3 linked regions of the Canis lupus familiaris genome follow. The protein of the gene in region 2 interacts with the protein of the main gene of each other region in a pairwise test. Links are inferred from orthologs where the notes say so. Each region holds a gene or a part of one and is shown on either strand. Other genes may lie near its edges.

Region 1 (6,589 bases), on a different chromosome or scaffold from region 2:
CAGGAAAATAATGATGCTATAATGGATTTTAAAGTATATAAAGACATTATCTTTTGATAGAAATTAAACAGCTAGAAGTAATCACAAAAATTGCTTATAATTCCTAATGCCTCCTTCACAACTCCATATCCACTTTTCTTGATTTTAGATTTTCTCTATGACTGTGTAGCTTCTGCTGAAGAGGGATGCTAGTCAGGGAAAGAGGTCACAGAAATCAGTACCTCCTTCAGGGATATCACACAGTTTCTGGACCAGTGATTCTCAGACGTGGATGTACATTAGAATTACCTGGGCGGCTATATCATATCAAGGCCTATATTATATCCCAGACCAATGAAATCAGAATCTCTGGGGATATTAGTTTTTAAAGCTTCCCAGCTGATAGCAGGGTGCAGCCAAGGTTGAAAACAATTATTCAAACCATATGGTTACTTGCCATCAAAACTAAAGGGTAGAAAAAAAAGTTTTGAGGCAACTTTTCTTTCCCTGACTTTGTTATAATCACTGTTTGTTGAGCTAACTAATACATTTCTTGAAGAAGGTAAGAATGCTTCTAATCCTAATATTTTTTTTCTAGTACAGAAAAGACTTCTGTTTTCTGCCATTTCAGATTGTTCAGATAATCACGACATAAAATGATTGTTGTGAAAAGTAATAGCGTTTGTTTGTTTTTTTTTAAAGACAGGGAGAGAGAGGTGGAGGGAAGGGCAGAGAACAAGGGAGAGAGAGAACCTTAAGCAGGCTGTGTGCCCAGTGCTGACCCTGAGATCATGACCTGAGCAGAAATCAAGAGCTGGATGCTTAACTGAGCGAGCCACCCAGGTGCCCTGAAAAGTAATCATGTTTTAAAAATGTAATCAGTTGACATAAAAGATTTAGCAATAAACTTTCTGTACTTATAAAAGATTTATGTAAAATGAATACTTGATCATTTTCCTACTGTAGACTATAAATTCTGATTTCTGACAGTTGAATTTTCTAAAACCTCAATGAACTTTTTTGTTTTGATAACTTTAAAAATTTTTTAAAAACTAATTTAAAAATTAGTGATTCTTCGAACCATTTTATGTTTTTATTTTTTTTCCTAATTTAAAAGGTACAAAGTCTCCAAGATGACAAGCATGTCATTATCCTAGCTCCTTCTGCCATTTGACCTCTTGGCTCTGATATGTGCCATTATTAGTATGGAATCTTGACAGGTATTCAGTGTTCAGCACTAAAGTAAATGGAATCATTTTTCTATGACCAGATATAATTTTCCTCATGCACTTCTAATCTAGAAGTCTGTTTTATTATGCTCTACCACATGTCCAAGATTAAAAGCTTTATTTAAAACCTGAAGATCTTTTGAATTACTTTTGAGATACAAATCGGTGGTAGTTCAGGCAGCACAAAATATACACGTTCCTATCATTTCTTTGCAGTAAGAGACAACACCTGACATATATTAAAGTAGATGAACTGACGGTTCAAGTAGATGACTTTCTGAAGGCAGTATTATTTTATGGTCACAGTACTCTTTTGTGGATTTAACACTAGGAAAAGCACTTCAGTTTAAATACTTTATTTTTACATACTACTTTTATAAAAGGCCTCCAGGAGTACTGAGGTTAAAATGACTCAGCATATAAGTTTAAAAAATTACCTCAGTGTTCCTCTGAGTTGTCCGTAGTTTATAATGATTTCTGCACCTTCCTTATAACCTTGATTGAAGCCTTGTTGAAGAGTAACAGCTTTGCCAGCATCTATTCCATCTCTATAGCCTTCCTAAAAATAAGTAATGAAGAAAACTGCAGCTGTAATTAACACCAAGTAAACCACTGTAGGTTTTTCTGGAAAGTCATAAAACCGATTTAGAATGTTGATGAAATAGGCCTTTACTGCTGTTTACTATTTAACATAATGGTTCTACAACCTATGGCACAGCCACACAACCCGAGCAGATTATGCTTCCCAGCAAGGTTTATTATTCGCATATCCCGCTTTAGGAGTCGACTTATTTGGCACATTTAAAAATACAGATTTTAAAAAAAATATATTCTATTTATTCACGAGAGACAGAGGAGAGAGACAGAGAGAGAGGCACAGACACAGGCAGAGGGAGAAGCAGGCTCCATGCAGGGAGCCCGATGTGGGACTTGATCCCGGGACTCAAGTATCAGGCCCTGGGTCAAAGGCAGATGCTAAACCACTGGGCCACCCAGGCTGCCCCAAAATATAGATTCTTATACAGATTTTAAAAACCCTGTGTTAACAATGGCTTCACAGGAAGGAAAACAGAGAGTTAATGTCTGGCCCCTTGGCAACACTGACTGATGAGCGTTGGGTGAGAAGGTAGGGCAGAAAAGAGGTTATCAGAGGTCTTCAATAATCAGCTCAAGGAGGGAAAGAGGAAACTGGGTGAGTAAAAAAAGATGCAAAGTACGGTTTTAGAAATCTTGCCTGGTATCTAAATTTAAATAAACGGCAAATTCCCTGTGGGCGGAGATACTGTCCTGCGTCTCCATCTCCTCTGGTGCCACTGCACTCCAAGGCCGGTTGCGACTCACTGGTCTGGCCCCCACCTTACATCAAGCGTTTCTGAAACTGGTAACGTGGTGGTTGGGCTAAGCAAACATTTCACTGAAACAAACAAGGGCCAATCGGGCAGTATTTTGCTTGGGAAAGACCTTGGGTGGAAGTGGACCTGGCCGTGTGAACTCAGCTCCCACTGCTCCACCTGGAGACTGAGGGCGTGGCATTAAGCTTAGTTTCAATGAACAAAGCAGAGAAAGATAATGCACACCCAGCAAATAAAAAAGCAGCCAACTTTGGTATTCCTTCACCTAGCCCCACGGTACTCCACAGCAGCTTTCCTTTATTCCTATTTGACATTTCTTTTTATCATTATTACTATTTAAGATCTTAATTTTTTTTTAAAGATTTTATTTATTTATTCATGATAGAGAGAGAGGGGCAGAGACACAGGCAGAGGGAGAAGCAGGCTCCATGCAGGGGGACTCGATCCGGGGACCCCGGGGTCACGCCCTGGGCTGAGGGCGGATGCTCCACCGCTAAGCCCCCCGGGCATCCCTGCTTCTGGACATTCGTAGGTTCACCTTTCCCGTGTGTCTCCAGTAATAACCACTCCCGGGCAGCCCGGGGGGCTCAGCGGTTTAGCGCCACCTTCAGTCCAGGGCGTGACCCCGGGGTCCCGGGATCGAGTCCCGCATCGGGCTCCCTGCGTGGAGCCTGCTTCTCCCTCTGCTTGTATCTCTGCTTCTCTCTCTCTGTGTCTCTATAAAAAAAAAAAAAAAAAAAAAAAAAAAAAAAAGTAACCACTTCCGACGTTGGGCTCGTGACCCGTTCGAGCAGCCCGTCCACGCCCTCCGCGAACCTCCCGGCACGGCGACCCCCGCCAGGTCTACACCTAGCTCGCGTCTGCTCCCAGCGTCCAGCGCGCCCCGAGGTCTCGCGCGCTTTCGGGTAACCCCTCGGTAACCCCCTGGAAAGCCCTCGCGGGCCCCGCGGCCTCCACCCTCGCGCCCGCGCTCCGCTCTCTCCACAAGCCGCCGTGTGTCCCCCGCGCCCGCCACGCAGCCTTACTTTGACTCGTCTCTGCATGTGGCTCCGCCATTCCCGCTGCACCAGGAGAGACTCGTCCGCCTCCTCGTCAAACACGTCCCCTTCCTCTCCGGGACCCCGGACCAGCGGGGCCCTCTGAACCCACGACATCACCGAGGCAACCGCAGGGCGGCCGGGCGCCGGAAGCGCCCGCAACGTCTTCCGGTCCGAGGGGCGGGGCGAAGGCTGCGCGTCGGGGCGGGGGGCTGCCGCGCATGCGTGCGTGACGTCGGGTCGGGCCGCGGGGCGGGAGTCGCTGCTGCGGGACCCGGACCTCCTCGGAGGGCAGCCGGGACGTGCGGGGACACGCTTTGCCTTCCGGCCGGGGTGGAGCCGTTGGAGGTGGTTCAGTGGATGCGCGACGACGGGCCGAGGTCTCGGTGTCTGGGAAGCTCCCCGCAGCGCATCTTAGGGGTTTGACGTCCACGGGCCTTAGCCGTCAGCGGCACAGGACTGTAGGGCCCGAAAGGTAGCTCCTGCGGCCAGTCCGAGCTCCATCCATGCGGGGCGCCCCTGGAGTGCGCTTCTCCCGGGGTCTCGGGGCCCGCCGCTGGCCCGCCTGGCTGCGGAGGCCGGCCCTGGTGCACCTGCAGGGGCTCGGCGCCGCCTGGTCCCCACCCGGGGCGGGGGCGCTGGGACGCGTGCGGGTGACGGAACCCACACCGGGGCTCGGGCCGTTCAGCTTTTTTTTTTTTTTTTTTTTTAATATTTTGTTTATTTATTCATTAGACACACACAGAGAGTGAGAGGCAGAGACACAGGTAGAGGGAGAAGCAGGCTCCATGCAGGGAGCCCGACACGGGACTCGATCTCGAGACCGGGGTCACGACCTGGGGCCAAGGCAGGTGCTCCACCGCTGAGCCCCCCGGGCTGCCTGCCCGCCGTTTAGCTTTTTGCGTGGTGATGGGGTGGTGATGATTTATTTATTTGATGCATTTTGTGGCGCCAGGCACCGTTGCAGCTTTCGGGGTACGTCAGGGAAGGACAGACCTGACTTAGCAGCTCTCCTCCGGTTTACGTTCCGGTGGAAGGGGCAGGAGGAACCAGAAGCACGGTATAGGTGAATTACGTAGTTTGTTACCAGATCATAAGGGATACATGCTGTGAGACAGAGAAATAAGTGAGCTGGGCAGCCCGGGGAGCTCAGCGGTGGAGCACCTGCCTTCCGCCCAGGGCGTGACCCTGGGGTCCTGGGATCGAGCCCGCATCGGGCTCCCTGCAAGGAGCCTGCTTCTCCCTCCTCCTGTCTCTGCCTCTCTCTCTCTGTCTCTCATGAATAAATAAAAAAAATCTTAAAAAAAAAAAAGTGAGCAAAGTAAGGGGAACCATGAGCCTGTGTGTCAGGGGGAGTGGGTGGTTTAGGTGATCATTTTAAATGCTCAGAATTTTGCATTTACATGCAAAATTTTAATTTTATGTATGTTGCATATATATGCATACTATATATAGTAGTTACTATATATTATACATGGAATATATATTGTGTATAATATTGAATACATTATACAGAATACAATATATATTATGTATATAATGCATATATATTTTTTACTTGGTAGGTCCATGGAATTATGTATAAGAATACTCCATAGTTGGCCACATAAAATACCTTAACTTAAAAACCCGGACGTTTTATAAGTCATATTCTCTGATCATGATCCAACAATAAATAAATTCCAATAATTTATAATAGCCAGGTGTGAGAATCACCTTTTTTTTTTTTTTTTTTTCAAGATTTTTTTTATTTGAGACACGGAGAGAGCACCAGCAGGGTGAGGGGCAGAGGAGGAGCAGACTCCCAGTTGGCAGGGAGCCTGAGCCTGGACTCCGGGATCATGACCTGAGCCAAAGGCAGAGGCCCAACCAACTGAGCCACCCAGGCACCCTAAAACCACCTGTGGAAATAACAATTGGATCAAAAAGGAAATAAAAATTAAAATGACATACAATAAGCAATTAAAATCTGAACACTTCCCACCAGAAAACATGGGAGCAGATGAAAGTTGTACAGAGGCAATTCTATAGGATTAAATGTATAAAAAAAAAAAAAAGACATGTTGTATATCTTAATTAGCAACAAAAATGCTACTAAGAGAAGCAATAAAAATATCAATTGAAATTAATACAGTAGAAAATCTCCAAACTTACATAAATAAATCCTAAAGCTGGTTCTTTGAAGAAACCAAGAAGATAGATAATCCTTTTTTGTTTGTTTTTAGTAAGCTTTATGCCCAATGTGGGGCTTGAACTGACTACTATGAGATCGAGTTGTGTGCTCCATCAGCTGAGCCAGCCAGGTGCCCCAAATGTGTGTGTGTGTATTATTTTTTACTTCGTGTTTTTTTAAATAAGCTCTACACCAAAATGGGGTTCAAACTCCTAACTCTGAGATTAGGAGTCACATACTCTACCAACTGAGCGAGCCCGGTGCCCTAGATTATCCTCTTTTGACCTTCATTAAAAAAAAAAAAAGTTATATAAGGTAGAAATGGGAAAGAGTAATGTTACAGAAATAAATTCAAGTACTATACTAATTAAGATTTGAGAGCCACACATTTGAAAACCTGGGAGCCTTGAATGGCTTTCTAATAAAACTGACCCAATAAACAGAAAACATGAAGAGACTGATTATCTTAGATAAATTAGAGGTTAAATATCCACTTTAAAAAATAGCAAAGACTTGACATACAGGTAAATCCATTAAATCTATTTTAATCTTTAAAGAACAATGGATGGAGCACCTGGATGGCTCAGTTGGTTAAGCCTCTGACTCAGGTCATGGTCTCAGGGTCTTAAAATCGAGCCCCAAGACGGGCTCCACACTCAGTGGGGAGTCTGCTTTAGATTTTCTCTTCTCCCTTTACCCTTCCTTACCTCTCCTGAAGGAAATAAATCTTTTAAAAAAACCAACAATGCATAACTAAATATTTTTTACTCTTAGGCAAAGAAAAAGAATCTCCCTAAATCATTTTGTGAAGCCAGCCTT
Region 2 (6,589 bases):
GCTATTGACAAAATACAGACAAGGTAGCCAACACATTAACAATCCGTCTAAAAAACAAAATCTAATCATTCAAAGAAACCTTGAAAAATGGTATGCAGTAACTGGATGGTTTATATTTTTACTTTATTAGGCTTCCAGTTTAGATAGCTGTTTTTTTTTTAATGGAAGTCATTTATAATATTCTTTGCATCATATTTCTACCATTATTTAAATTTCCCCCCATTTTTGATTGGATAAATGATATATAGAAAAATTATATAGAAGTGAACAGTAAATTAAAATGAAATTACATTCCATTAGAGACTAAGTACTAATTTGTAATCTTTTGATTTAGTGTGAAAGGATATAGACAACAAAGAATGGAGCACATTTTGCAGCCATCCTATGACACTACGATAAGAAGTCCTATGATAAGAAAGGACTGCTAAGGTCCCGCTCAGGAATGAGTACACGACCACCTTTGTGCTTTAGGCAGAAAAACAATAAGAAAATTTATGAAGGCATACAAATGTTGACCAGTGTTTTACAGATAAAGCAAATGCCATGACTTAGGTTCATAAAATGCGAAAGTAGAGAAACTATAATTAATTTATAATGACTTTGAATTTCTACACTTCTGAAGAAAATACGATTACTTACTTTTTTCTCCGGTTTGATTCCACAAAATATTTACGTGCTCGATTTCGACATATTTTTTGTTGCTGCAGTAAAATTTGACGCTCTTCTTCTAAATTTTTCTCCAGATGTATTTTCGTATCTCTAATGATAGCACAAAGTTAAGGACATGGTTTATAGCTCCAGGGGATGAGTGTCAGTGCTGATAAATATAATTACAGCCTCATACTAAGAATACAGTCATTTTTAGGAAACAATACGTGTACACATTAGTGTTAGTTAGTAGTAGTATTCTGACTTGGGATGCCTGGTGACTCAGCGATTGAGCATCTGCCTTTGGCTCAGTGTGTGATCCCGGAGTCCAGGGATCGAGTCCACATCGGGCTCCGTGCATGGAGCCTGCTTCTCCCTCTGCCTGTGTCTCTGCCTCTCTTGTTCTGTTGTCTCATGAATAAATAAAATCTTCAAAAAAAATTCTGACTTGGTATTAGAACTGAACACATATCTCACTTTCCCTGGGATAAAAATTGTACTTTCAGCATCATGAGCTCAGATAAGGAGACTGCATATTTTTTCAACACTATGAACCTCTACAAATCTGCTAAATGCAAATCTGATTGCATTTCTCTTTCCTTTTTCTCTTAAAGTTCCCTGTCACATCCATGGTAAATTCTAAATCTCCTGACCTAGTATATAAAGCACTATAAATTGGTCTGTTTTTTCAACTTCAATTCTCAACCCTGCCCTGCACAAATCCTATGCCCAGATGCACGAAGATACTTACATACTGATAACAGAACAAGCCATGACATATCAGAGCATCATCTCTAAGCACATGCTTGGTAACTTCCCCTGTGGTTCAGGCCCACTTCAAGCAGTTCCCCTGTTTTCTAGAGAAAACCCTCATTGGATGACCTGACACCTTCATGAGTACATCCTATGAGTACATGTCTTCTCCACCTTTCTGTAACGCCAATGACTGGCATGCTGCTTAATAAAATCTAGCTGAACAATTTCCTTGGAGAAAATTCTCAGTACATATACAGGACAAAAGATATAAACAATTTCTCCTTAAAGTTTTAATGAGTCATCTTTGAAATACTTTTCCTTTAAAATGTCTTTCCTTCCAAAAGGTAAATTTGCTATACCTTCAAATACATGAAAAATATGAAATTCTATTTTATGTTGTTATTCTTTTACAATTTCACATTTATATTTTATTAGCTTAATTTTGGAATGTAGTACCAAGTGTGACTCAAGGTAGAGATGGTAAATTTAGACTCTTTTTAGAGGTCTGAATATGGACACAGGAGATACTAGAATCAAGTTGAGGGTTCTCATGTTGATCATTGACTAACAATCATCCTTTGATAGGGTTTGACTGTTAGTCTAGTTTATTTTAAGGAGAGCCAAGACCGGAGTATGTTTATAGGCTGGAGGAAAAGAATGCCATTACAAGTTGAAAGTAGATTTTAAGATGGGGTAATTTATAATCCAGAGGCACACAGGAGAAAACAAGCTATGTTAGTAAGGCACAGGTGAATAGATGGATGTTCTACCATAAAAGTGATATCCCATCAATGAACCTGGAAAAAAGGATGGTGTTGGGGGCAGGGGGTGTTGCTTGTGAAGAGGGGCTGAGAGCCTTCGTGGTGTCTACTGTCTCATGAAGTAGTAAGACAGTCTACTGAGAGCAGGTGGAATTGGTAAAGACCTCACACAGACATGAAGAGGAACAGACATCCCTGTTCTTGTTCAGGCGAAGCTGGAAACTGTTCAATCTGTGTGGTGCCAGTCTGTATTGTCTTGTGATTTTTCTCTGACAGCATTTTTCTTACTTAAGTGAAGGACAAGAGAAGTAGAACTCTAGTAGCTATTGGATGAAGCAGAGGAATAGGGGTGCAAAGGACCAAGGATGCTGGTGAGAGAACATGAGCAGGTAATTGAGAATAGGATATAAACCAGGCAGGGAAGAGAGGGCAAGATAAGTGCTAAAATAAAATCAAAGGGGAAAAGAGATATATATGAGAAAAAAGGAGGCACAGTGTGAAGGGAACATGAGAGACATTTCACCTTTTTTTAAAAAAGAAAAATTTAGGGATGCCTGGGTGGCTCAGCAGTTGAGCATCTGCCTTTGGCTCAGGTTGTGATCCCGGGATCCAGTCCCATATGGGGCTCCCCGCAGTGAGCCTACTTCTCCCTCTGCCTATGTCTCTGCCTCTCTGTGTCTTTCATGAATAAATAAAATCTTTACAAAAGAAAAAAGTATGTTTGGTTTTGTTCCTTTGAGGTACTATTAATTCTATTTACAAATATTTTCTCTGATGTTTACTCAGTGTTCCAACTACATCAATTTACAAAATTAAGTCTAGGACTATTTCATGAATGAAAAGGATAGAAAGATACACTCTGTCCATGAGCCATTGACCTTGCTTCATTACTTTCTGATTCAGACGAAATCAGGGTCAGTGCTATAGTCCTATAGGACTTCAGTGTGCATGAAAATACAACGTCAAGGGAACAAAATCAAATCCGTACACACCGGTGCTGTTTATTTCAGAACACATCTCTGAGAGCATGAGTTTTGGGGACCAGCACGGGCAAAGCTAGACCAGGCTAGCTGCAGGAGGCTCGGAGCACAGCTGCCTTCCTCCCTGTCGCCAGGTCTGCACCCCAGAACCCCGAGCAGGGCGCGCGCGCACGTCACAGCCTTTGCCTACTTGCTGATCCACCGCAGCATCTCAGGACAGGTGTCCAAGCGCGCTGGTGGGGATGTGCGGCAGCACTCTGAGGGTCCGTGAGCTCGGAGTCCAAGCCCGTCACCACCAGTCCCGTCGTCCGCCAGCACCGACGCCACCCGTCACCGCCCCATCGTCCTCAGAAAGGGTACGAGCGCCTTCCATTCCGAAAACAGAACTCCGCCCTGAATTCTGAGGAAGGCTGTCCCCCTGACCACCGGACACACCCCGGGTGACCCGCAGACCAGAGAATGAACCGGGGGTGTGCTAGCTTAACCTGCTAACCCGATTCTCGAAGGTCGCAAAGAGGTGTCACTTGTGGGGCTCTTCCCTCTGCGCAGCACCATTAACCAGGCAGTGCACAGAACATGGCCACGCTGTCTGAGCAACAGAGCAGCCCCCGCACCGCACGAGGTCGGTAGTTCCACGTTCCAGAGCATCTGGAACAGCGAGGCCCGGGGCGGGGGAAGCAGGGAAAAGGGTGGGGAGCCCGGGGGAGGACCCCGGGGGAGGCCGGGGGGGGCACCGACGGGGGAAACGGGCGCACAAGGACCCGAACGGTGTCGGGGGGTGGGGGCGAAAGGCGGGGAGGGGTGCCCCGGGGGAGAGTCGGGCGCTCACGGACACCCACCCGGCGCGCGGGGGTGGTGTGGGCACAGGCGGGGGAGCCCACCGCCCGGCCAGCCCGCCGTCCGCCGGCGCCCACACCGCCTACCCGGCCCGCATCCCCGGAAGGATACAGGTCGGCGGCAGGCCGGCGGCGCCCGCGGCCCAAGCGGGGGATGAGGAGCGCTCCGTCGCCGGCGTCCGACGTCTCGGGGCCCCGTCCCCGTTCCACGGCCGAGCTCCGGGCGCCCGGCCTCCAAGCCAGCATCTTTCAGCTCCGCGCCGCCTCTCGGCCCGCCGCTGGCGCCTCCGTCATGGCAGCCTCGGCCTCGTCCTCGGGCCTCCGTCCACTCCGTCTCTCGGGCTTCGTGTCACGGGCGCGGAAGGCTTGGCCGCGGCAGCCCCGGTTCCCGAGCGGCAGCGACGCTGGCTGTGACGGCTGCGGCGTCGACCTTGCCCTGCAGTGGCGGAGAGGGCAGCCGCGGTCCCGCAGACACCGCCGCCATCTTGGCAACCAACGGACGCCGCGTCCTTGGCGACAGAAACCAGGGCGCCGGGTGGGGCGGGGCTACGCGCCGGACAGCCAATGGCTAGCGTGGGCGGGACCCGGGCTCCCGCGACCGAGTCTGCGCAGGCGCGGGCTTGTCCCTCTGTCAGCGCGGGGCTGAGTCTTCTTTACGCTGAGGCTGTAGTGGTGGGGGTGCGGAGCGGTGGGGGGATGGGTGGGATGGAGTGGGGGCACGGCCGCGGGGGTCGTCTGGATGGTCGATGGAGCACTGGAGCTCGTGGGTCTGGAGCTGGAAGTCCATCTAGCTTCCTGGGGCGGGTCTGGGTCCCCTGCATCTTCCCCGCGCGGGATGCTCTGCAGGGTCCTCCCTGCCCTGTGGCTGCCGGGTCTGCACGCATACCGTCTCGCGTCCCTTTCGCGTCCCTTTCGCGTCCCTTCTGGACGAAGTCCACATCTAAGGTGGAGACCTCCCGGAAGGTGTGCTGGGCGGAGTGGATCTCTGGGCCGCAGAGATTTTGGTTTTGCAAACTGAAAATATAGAAAAGAGGCTGAAATGCAATGAAACGCCGGGACACCTGCACGCCGATGTTTCTAGCAGCAATGTCCACAATAGCCAAACTGTGGAAGGAGCCTCGGTGTCCATCAAAAGATGAATGGATAAAGAAGATGTGGTCTATGTATACAATGGAATTTTCCTCAGCCATTAGAAACGACAAATACCCACCATTTGCTTCGACGTGGATGGAACTAGAGGGTATTATGCTGAGTGAAATAAGTCAATCGGAGAAGGACAAACATTTTATGGTCTCATTCATTTGGGGAATATAAATAATAGTGAAAGGAATAGAGGGGAAGGGAGAAGAAATGGGTGGGAAATATCAGAAAGGGAGACAGAACATAAAGACTCCTAACTCTGGGAAACGAACTAGGGGTGGTGGAAGGGGAGGTGGGTAGGGGGTGGGAGTGACTGGGTGATGGGCACTGAGGGGGGCACTTGACGGGATGAGCACTGGGTGTTATTCTGTATGTTGGCAAATTGAACACCAATAAAAAATAAATTTATTATTTAAGAAAAAGAAAAAAAAAACAAGAAAAGAGGCTGAAACTGTTTGTTGGAACTCAGTATAAAAGAACATATAAATTCCGACTGTGTTAGCCAGGGTTTGTTTGTTATTTGTTTTTTAATGGAAGAACTCTCAGATTGGAAGCAAAATGTACAAACCAAATAAAAATCATCCACCCACCATTGAAATGGCTCTGCCTTTGTGAATCAGGTATGTTCATTTTTAAACTTCAAATAAACTTTTCCAGTTGAAACTACTTAAAACGGTTTTTGCAAAGTTGTATGCAGTTACTCAAATTGAAATGTAATCTGGTGACTGAGATTTTAAAATGCCACAACAAATCCAGCTTTTATTTATTTATTTATGATAGTCACAGAGAGAGAGAGAGGGGCAGAGACACAGGCAGAGCACCGGGAGCCCAACGTGGGATTCGATCCCGGGTCTCCAGGATCGCACCCTGGGCCAAAGGCAGGCGCCATACCGCTGCGCCACCCAGGGATCCCTCCAGTTTTGATTTAACACACAAAACACGTGAGCTTCCTTCAGGACAAAGCCAAGACAATAGAATATATAACTTTTAGCAGGGAAAGGCCAAAGGTGTATCCATAGACCATTGGCTATCTTGGCAAGTTTTAAACTGGCCTAGCCACGACATTGACCTTGATTCTATTCCCATTGCTATCATCACAGTTCTGTTTCCCTGGGGCTATTCAGAAGATTTTTTTTTTTTTTTTAATTTGAGAGAGTAAGAGACAGAAAGCACAAATGAGGGGAGTAGTAGAGGGAGAGGGGAAAGCAGACTCCTCACTGAGCAAGGAGCCCCATTTCCGGACTTGATATCAGGACCCTGAGATCACAACATGAGCTGAAGCCAGACATTCAAGTGACTGAGTCAGTCAGGCACCCTAGAAACGCCCTAGAAGTGTTCAGAATTTTAAACCTTGAACCAGTGAAAGGTGTTGATGAATGGTTGTGGGCAAGTGGGTGAAATGGTTGTGTTCCAAGTAAGGGGAAAAAAAAGTCAAATGTAACTCTGTGATTTGGGGCTGGACCAAGCA
Region 3 (6,589 bases), on a different chromosome or scaffold from region 2:
AGTGAGAGAGAGAGAGGCAGAGACATAGGCCGAGGGAGAAGCAGGCTCCATGCACCAGGAGCCCGACGTGGGATTCGATCCCGGGTCTCCAGGATCGCGCCCTGGGCCAAAGGCAGGCGCCAAACCGCTGCGCCACCCAGGGATCCCTAGTGCCCAGGTTTAATTGAAGAGCATCTCAGGGCCATAAGGGAACCCAACCGCCTTTTGGCCTTGCTGAACCAACTGCTTGGAAATCAGTGCAGGCAACGAGTAGCAGAAAATGGCATCTCTGCCTGTGGGCTTCTGGTCAAGGGTGCTAATGCCAGGGGGTCTGTCTGGAAGTGGGTCAGCATTATTGACAGCCTGGGCAAAGATCATGTCTGTTGAAGCCCTACCTAGCCCAAAATCCTAGCCCCCTGAGGCCTAAGGAGAAAGATTTGGCTACTCACTACTATGCTCAGCTGTGACTCTGCACTTCCTGCAGGACTTTGTAGCTGACAAAGACTTCCTGCAAAGCTCTTGCCAGTTAACCCAGCTGGGTGACATGTGCTAATAATGATAACAGGGGAAACCCTTCTCTGAGCTCCTCCAGCGTGTCATGCAGAAGCTAAGACCTACATGATCTCATTTATTCAAAGTAATCTCTAAGCCCAACATGGGGCTCAAACTCAGGAAATGAAGCCAGGCACCCTCCACATTATCTCATTTGAAACCTCAAAGCAACCCCCTCATCAATCAGCGCCACTGGGTTTATTCAATTTTATGTGTATGTATTTGGGAGCAGGGGCAGTATGGTGTGTACTTCCAATAATTACTTTTTAAAGATCCATTCTTTTTAAAATTTGGTTTGGGGGCATCTGGGTGGCTCAGCGGTTGAGAGTCTTTCTTTGGCTCAGGTCTGGATACCAGGGTCGTGGGATCGAGTCCCGCATCAGGCTCCCCAGAAGGAGCTTGCTTCTCCCTCTGCCTATGTCTCTGCCTCTCTGTCTCTCATGAATAAATAAATTAAATCTTTAAAAATAAATAAAATTTGGTTTTGGTAACCAAGTCATGCCTAATGCATTTATGCATCTAAAAAAAATTTAATTGGTACAGATAAAGCACAAGTGACCCCCGACCTCCCTTTGACATTCTAGTGTATAAACCTTCCTGACATTGGATGCATTTAGATACCTAAATATAAATGTGTGGAAAGAACATTTTGTAGTTCAAAAAAAATAAAAGGGGACACCTGGGTGGCTCAGCAGTTGAGCATCTGCCTTTGGCTCTGGACGTGTTCCCGGAGTCCCGGGATTGAGTCCCACATCCGGCTTCCTGCATGGAGCCTGCTTCTGCCTCTGCCTGTGTCTCTGCCTCTCTCTCCGTCTCTCATGAATAAATGAAGTCTTTAAAAAAAGAAAAGAGATCATATTGAATATATTTCCCCAAATTTTTATCCTAAAAAATCTGTAGACATACGGAAAAGTTGAAAGAACTATATCAGGAACACCTACACATACACTTACCACCTAGCTTCTCCAATTCTTAACATTTTGCTTTATTTATCAGACATTTATTATCCATCAACTATCTTATCTCTTGATATGTTTCAAGTAAATTACAGACCGCCCTGCCCCTCACCCTGAAACACTTCACATACACATTAGAATTCAATTTTTTTTTAAAGATTTTATTTACTCAGAGTGAGTATTTATTCACTCAGAGTGAGAGAGAGAGAGAGTGCACATGAGCAGGGGCAGAGGGAGAGGGAGAAGCAAACTCCCCCCTGAGCAGGGAGCCCAATGTGGGGCTCCATTCCAGGACTCTGGGATCATGACCTGGGCCGAAGGCAGACGCTGAACTGACTGAGCCATCCAGGCACCCCTAGAGTTCAATATTTTTTAAGTCAAACTTACACACTGTCAAATGTATTTTTGCATTTTTCCAACATCCTGCTTTCTACATCCTACATCCTATCCTTCTGCTTAATAACATCCTCCCTAAGCTCATGTCTGCCCTTCCTTTTTTTAACGCAGGCACAACCCCGTTGCAGAGAGGTACCCCCATCAACGCCCACACCATATCCCCCTTTAATGGACGTTTAGGTGGTTTCAAGATGTTCACCCAGATGACGCGCGCATCCCCTCCCGTGTTGCCAACGACCTTCCTCGCTCTTGCCTCTTGGGGTTCTTGCACGCATTGCTCTCCGAGAGCTACCGAGGAAGGACATTGTTTGAACAAAGAGATAGGCCCCTTCTAAATTCGAACAGATCTCGCTAACGTGTCCCCAGGTCTCCGGGAAATCCCAGGAACAGCGCACATTCCGCACACCTTTGTCAGCACGGGACAGTACCGGTCATTCGCTCTGCAGCCCGCCGGACGGGTAAGGAAGGGACAGGCAGGCAAGGCGGCTGGAACCGAGAGGGCAGGTGCAGCCTGCACAGGCGGGGACACGGGGCGCGGAGAGCGCGGAGCCCGGAGGCGCCCTCATTAACACTCTCTCTCATTAGCGCGCGGGCTCGGGGGCACCCCGACTCCCCTAGCCACCCCGCGACCCCGCGACCCCGCGACCCCGCGGGAGACACGGCGGGGCCGCCGCAGGGGCGTGTCCTTCCACAGGACCCGCCCCCTCTGCGTGCGCACGTCGGGCCGCCCTCGCGCCGCCCGCAGGGCTGCGGCGGCCGCGGCGCTTCGCTGAGTCGCTGACGGACGCGCGGACGCGGTGACTGACGGCCGGCCGAGCGGACCCGAGGCCGGTGAGTGGTCTGCGCCCTCCCAGGCGCTCCTCCGGGCTCCGCGGCGCGTCCGGACGGCCCGGAGCTGAGCCGGGCGGGCGGCGGCGGGACGCTGCGACCCGGGCGCCGGCCTGAGGGAGAGCCGGCGGGCCGGGACGGGGGGCGGCCGGAAACGGGATGAGCGGGGAGGGCGCCGCGCTGAGACTCCCTGCTCGCTCCCGGCCGCCGGGGCGGGCGGGTGAGGCCCGAGCGGCCCGTCCGCCTTGGGCTCCGTTGGGCCCGGCCCCTCGCGGCGTCACGAGTGCGCTGGGCTGGGTGACCCCGGGGGCGTCGCGTGCCGACTCGGCGTGCCCGGCGGGGGCTGCGGCCTCCGACCCCCGCGAGGACCCCGGCCTGTCCCGGGCGCCCGGTGGTCCGAGCCCCGCGTGGTGGCGGCTGCGGGCTCCGCGCTTCCTCCTGACTCACCTCAGTAGGAAGGGCGTTTTGAGTCACTGTGGTGACTTCATGAGTGACCCGCCGCCGCCGGGAAGGAGGGACGGACGGTTGGTCCGGGCGGGGACTTCACCAGTCACTTCGTCTGCCCGCTGCCGTAGGTGTATTAATTGCCAGGGGTTGCCAGGACCGCCTTGTACAAGGCCTGCCTGTGTCGTGCTGTGAAGTGGATCCTGGCAGTTCGTGTTCATGGCCTTGAGCCCGACGAGACGGTGTGGGATTGGGAAAACAAACACAACAAACACACACCGTGTAGCGCTCTGCAGTTCGCTGCCAGCCCCCGCCAGAACCCGGCGGGGCTCAGTGTGTCTGCCTTCAGCTCCGGGCGTGACCCGGGGTCTCGGGATCGAGTCCCACGTCAGGCTCCCTGCATGGAGCCTGCTTGTGTGTCTGCTTGTGTCTCTGCCTCTCTCTCTCTCTCTCTCTCTCTGTGTCTCTCATGCATAAATAAATAAAATCTTTTTTAAAAAAATGGAATTAATGATGAGGCTTGGGTGAAATGACTTCACCTGCATCCCACAACTGGGAAGAGGCCACAGATGGTCTTTTTTTTTTTTAAGATTTTATTTATTTATTCATGAGAGACACAGAGAAAGAGAGAGAGAGAGGCAGAGACACAGGGAGAGGGAAAAGCAGGCCCCACGCAGGGAGTCCGATGTGGGACTCGATCCCAGGACTCCAGGATCACGCCCTCGGCCAAAGGCAGGTGCCAGACTGCTGAGCCACCCAGGGATCCCCAAGGCCACAGATGGCCTTGATCCTGGTCATCCGCCTGCAGATCTGTGATCTTTCCCAAACAATGTCGTAGAGATTGGAAATGGATTATGTCCTTTAAACTCTCTTCCCTGGGATCCCTACTCTAGAAATGACAATACCAAACGTGAAAATGAGTTACAGAAAGTATTCATTGCCTTTAGGTTACCCCTTATCGAGTGTTGAAATGCAAAATTGGACAGCTGGGGCCTTTGAGCTACCTTGATTTTTTTGTTTGTTTGTTTCCTTTTAATTTGTTTCTAAGATTTTATTAATTTATTCATTCATGGGAGACAGAGAGAGAGAGGTAGAGACACTGGCAGAGGGAGAAGCAGACACCCTGCAGGGAGCCCAATGTGGGACTCGATACCAGGACCCCAGAATCACGCCCTGGGCCAAAGGCAGGCACTAAACCACTGAGCCACCCAGGCTGCCCTGGTTTCCTTTTAATAGGTGATTCTCTTGATAAGACAGTTGAGCTCTGCATCAGTATTGCACCAAAACTATAATATCACTTCTTCAGGAGAGAGGTATTTTTGAAAAATTGGAATTGTGGGGTACCTGGGTGAGTCATTCGATTAAGTGTCTGCTTTTACTTCAGGTCATGATACCCGGATCCTGGGGATCCAGCCTCACTTCAGGCTTCCTGCTCAGTTGGGGCTCTGATTCTTTCTCGGCCCCTCCCCCTATTCATGCTCCGTGGCTCCCTCTCTCAAATAAAATCTTAAAAAAAAAAAAGAAAAGGAAAAAGAAAATTGGAATTGTGTATTTATTGTAAAGTTGAGAATTCAGCTTAACGCCGTGGAGACAAAAGAGATGAAAAATTTGAACTGTAAATTACCTCCTGGTATGTTATTGGCCATAATTAACTAAAAAGTTATAAATAAATATTTAGAGCAATCTTGTTTTCTTATAGTAATCAGTGAGAGAATTAAGAGCTCTGGATTACATCTTTTGTGTTCAACAGAGTGAGAGTTATGTGCTTTTTAACTAAATTATCTAATTCAGTTTGTGCAAAAACAGGATGAAATGTTGTCATTTCACTGTGTGTTGACATCACACTCCCAATTAGATGGGGTTACTAAGTAGTGTTTCCAAGGCCCCTCTAAATCCCGCACTCTCACCAGTGTTTTGGCTTACGTACTATATTTAAATTTTGTTGTTTGAATGATTTCTCAGGATATTTTTGCAGTACTGAGAAGCAGTACCATTACTGATTAATTTTGGGGAGGAAGAGAGGGACAGAGAGAAAACTATAAGGGAGGGGAATCTTGGAACAGTTACTGTAATGGCTTATACGAATGCCTTTTTTTTTTTTTTTTTTTTTTTTTTTTTTTTTATGATAGGCACACAGTGAGAGAGAGAGAGGCAGAGACACAGGCAGAGGGAGAAGCAGGCTCCATGCACCGGGAGCCCGATGTGGGATTCGATCCCGGGTCTCCAGGATCGCGCCCTGGGCCAAAGGCAGGTGCCAAACCGCTGCGCCACCCAGGGATCCCCCTTTTTTTTTTTTTTTTTTAATACTGGAAGAGATTTCACTCTGGGGACCACTCAGGTGCTCTGTAATGTTCAGTGTACGGTTTACTTCTCTACATTGATTCTCTTTATTTACCATAATATGTTATTTCCCATTGTATTACATATTTTTTAAAAATATTTTATTTATTTATTAATGAGAGACACAGAGAGGGAGAGAGGCAGAGATACAGGCAGAGGGAGAAGCAGGCTCCATGCAGGGAGCCGGACGTGGGACTCCATCCTGGGTCTCCAAGATCAGGCCCTGGGCTGAAGGTGGCGCCAAACTGCTGAGCAACCCCCCCCCCCCCCCCAGGCCTCCCTGTATTACACATTTTTTTTTTTTTAAGATTTTATTTATTTATTAGAGACAGAGAGATAGACAGGCAGAGGGAGAAGCAGGCTCCACGTAGGGAACCTGACGTGGGACTCGATCCCGCGTCTCCAGGATCACGCCCTGGGCCGAAGGCAGGTGCTAAACCGCTGAGCCACCCAGGGATCCCCTGTATTACACATTTTAAAGCCAACTAATGAAGACAGCGGAGCCCCTCAGAAATTTCATTTTTATTTTTAATTTTTTAAGAATTTTTTATTCATTAAAAAAAAAGATTCTTTTATTAATTTGAGAGAGCACAAGCAGTGGGAAAGGCAGAGGGAGAAGCAGAAGCAGACCCCCTGCTGGGGAGCCAGAAGCCTGACATGGGGCTCCATCCCAGTACCTGGAGATGATGACTTGAACCAGACACTCTACCATCTGAGCTACCAAGGCACCCCAGAAATTTCGTTTTTAATTTTTTTTTTAACTTAAAAGATTTTATTTGACAAAGGGCACTAGCACAAATAGGCAGAAGGAGAGGGAGAAGCAGGCCTTCTGCGGAGCAGAGATCCGATGTGGGGCTTGATCCCAGGACCCTAGGATCATGACCTGAGCCGAAGGCAGATGCCTAACTGAGCCACCCAGGCGCCCCTCATTTTTAAATTTCTAATAAATTTGACACAAAATACTAAAGTACAGCAGCTCATAACTGATGGCCTGATCTAGGAACATTGCATATATTTATGAATGTGCAGTTACACTTATACATATTGCAAGAAATCTTTTCTGAATGACCATTGTCTTTTAAGAGTAACATTGG

The links.
Region 1: the proteins of CEP126 (region 2) and YAE1 interact in a two-hybrid assay, tested with the Homo sapiens proteins (2 studies listed by BioGRID and IntAct). The link is inferred for Canis lupus familiaris from reciprocal best matches to the Homo sapiens genes CEP126 and YAE1.
Region 3: the proteins of CEP126 (region 2) and HMOX2 interact in a two-hybrid assay, tested with the Homo sapiens proteins (2 studies listed by BioGRID and IntAct). The link is inferred for Canis lupus familiaris from reciprocal best matches to the Homo sapiens genes CEP126 and HMOX2.

The regions. Positions count from the first base shown.
Region 1 is NC_049239.1:10,247,618-10,254,206, forward strand, and holds the start of YAE1 (protein YAE1 homolog), read right to left. Parts: upstream 3,772-6,589; 5' UTR 3,715-3,771; coding exon 3,586-3,714; exon of another isoform or gene 3,418-3,585; intron 1,768-3,417; coding exon 1,646-1,767; intron 1-1,645. UniProt on the Homo sapiens protein: The complex LTO1:YAE1 functions as a target specific adapter that probably recruits apo-ABCE1 to the cytosolic iron-sulfur protein assembly (CIA) complex machinery. May be required for biogenesis of the large ribosomal subunit and initiation of translation.
Region 2 is NC_049226.1:29,797,783-29,804,371, forward strand, and holds the start of CEP126 (centrosomal protein of 126 kDa), read right to left. Parts: upstream 3,834-6,589; 5' UTR 3,794-3,833; coding exon 3,639-3,793; exon of another isoform or gene 3,265-3,638; intron 760-3,264; coding exon 640-759; exon of another isoform or gene 636-639; intron 1-635. UniProt on the Homo sapiens protein: Participates in cytokinesis. Necessary for microtubules and mitotic spindle organization. Involved in primary cilium formation.
Region 3 is NC_049227.1:37,201,638-37,208,226, reverse strand, and holds the start of HMOX2 (heme oxygenase 2), read left to right. Parts: upstream 1-2,594; 5' UTR 2,595-2,714; intron 2,715-6,589.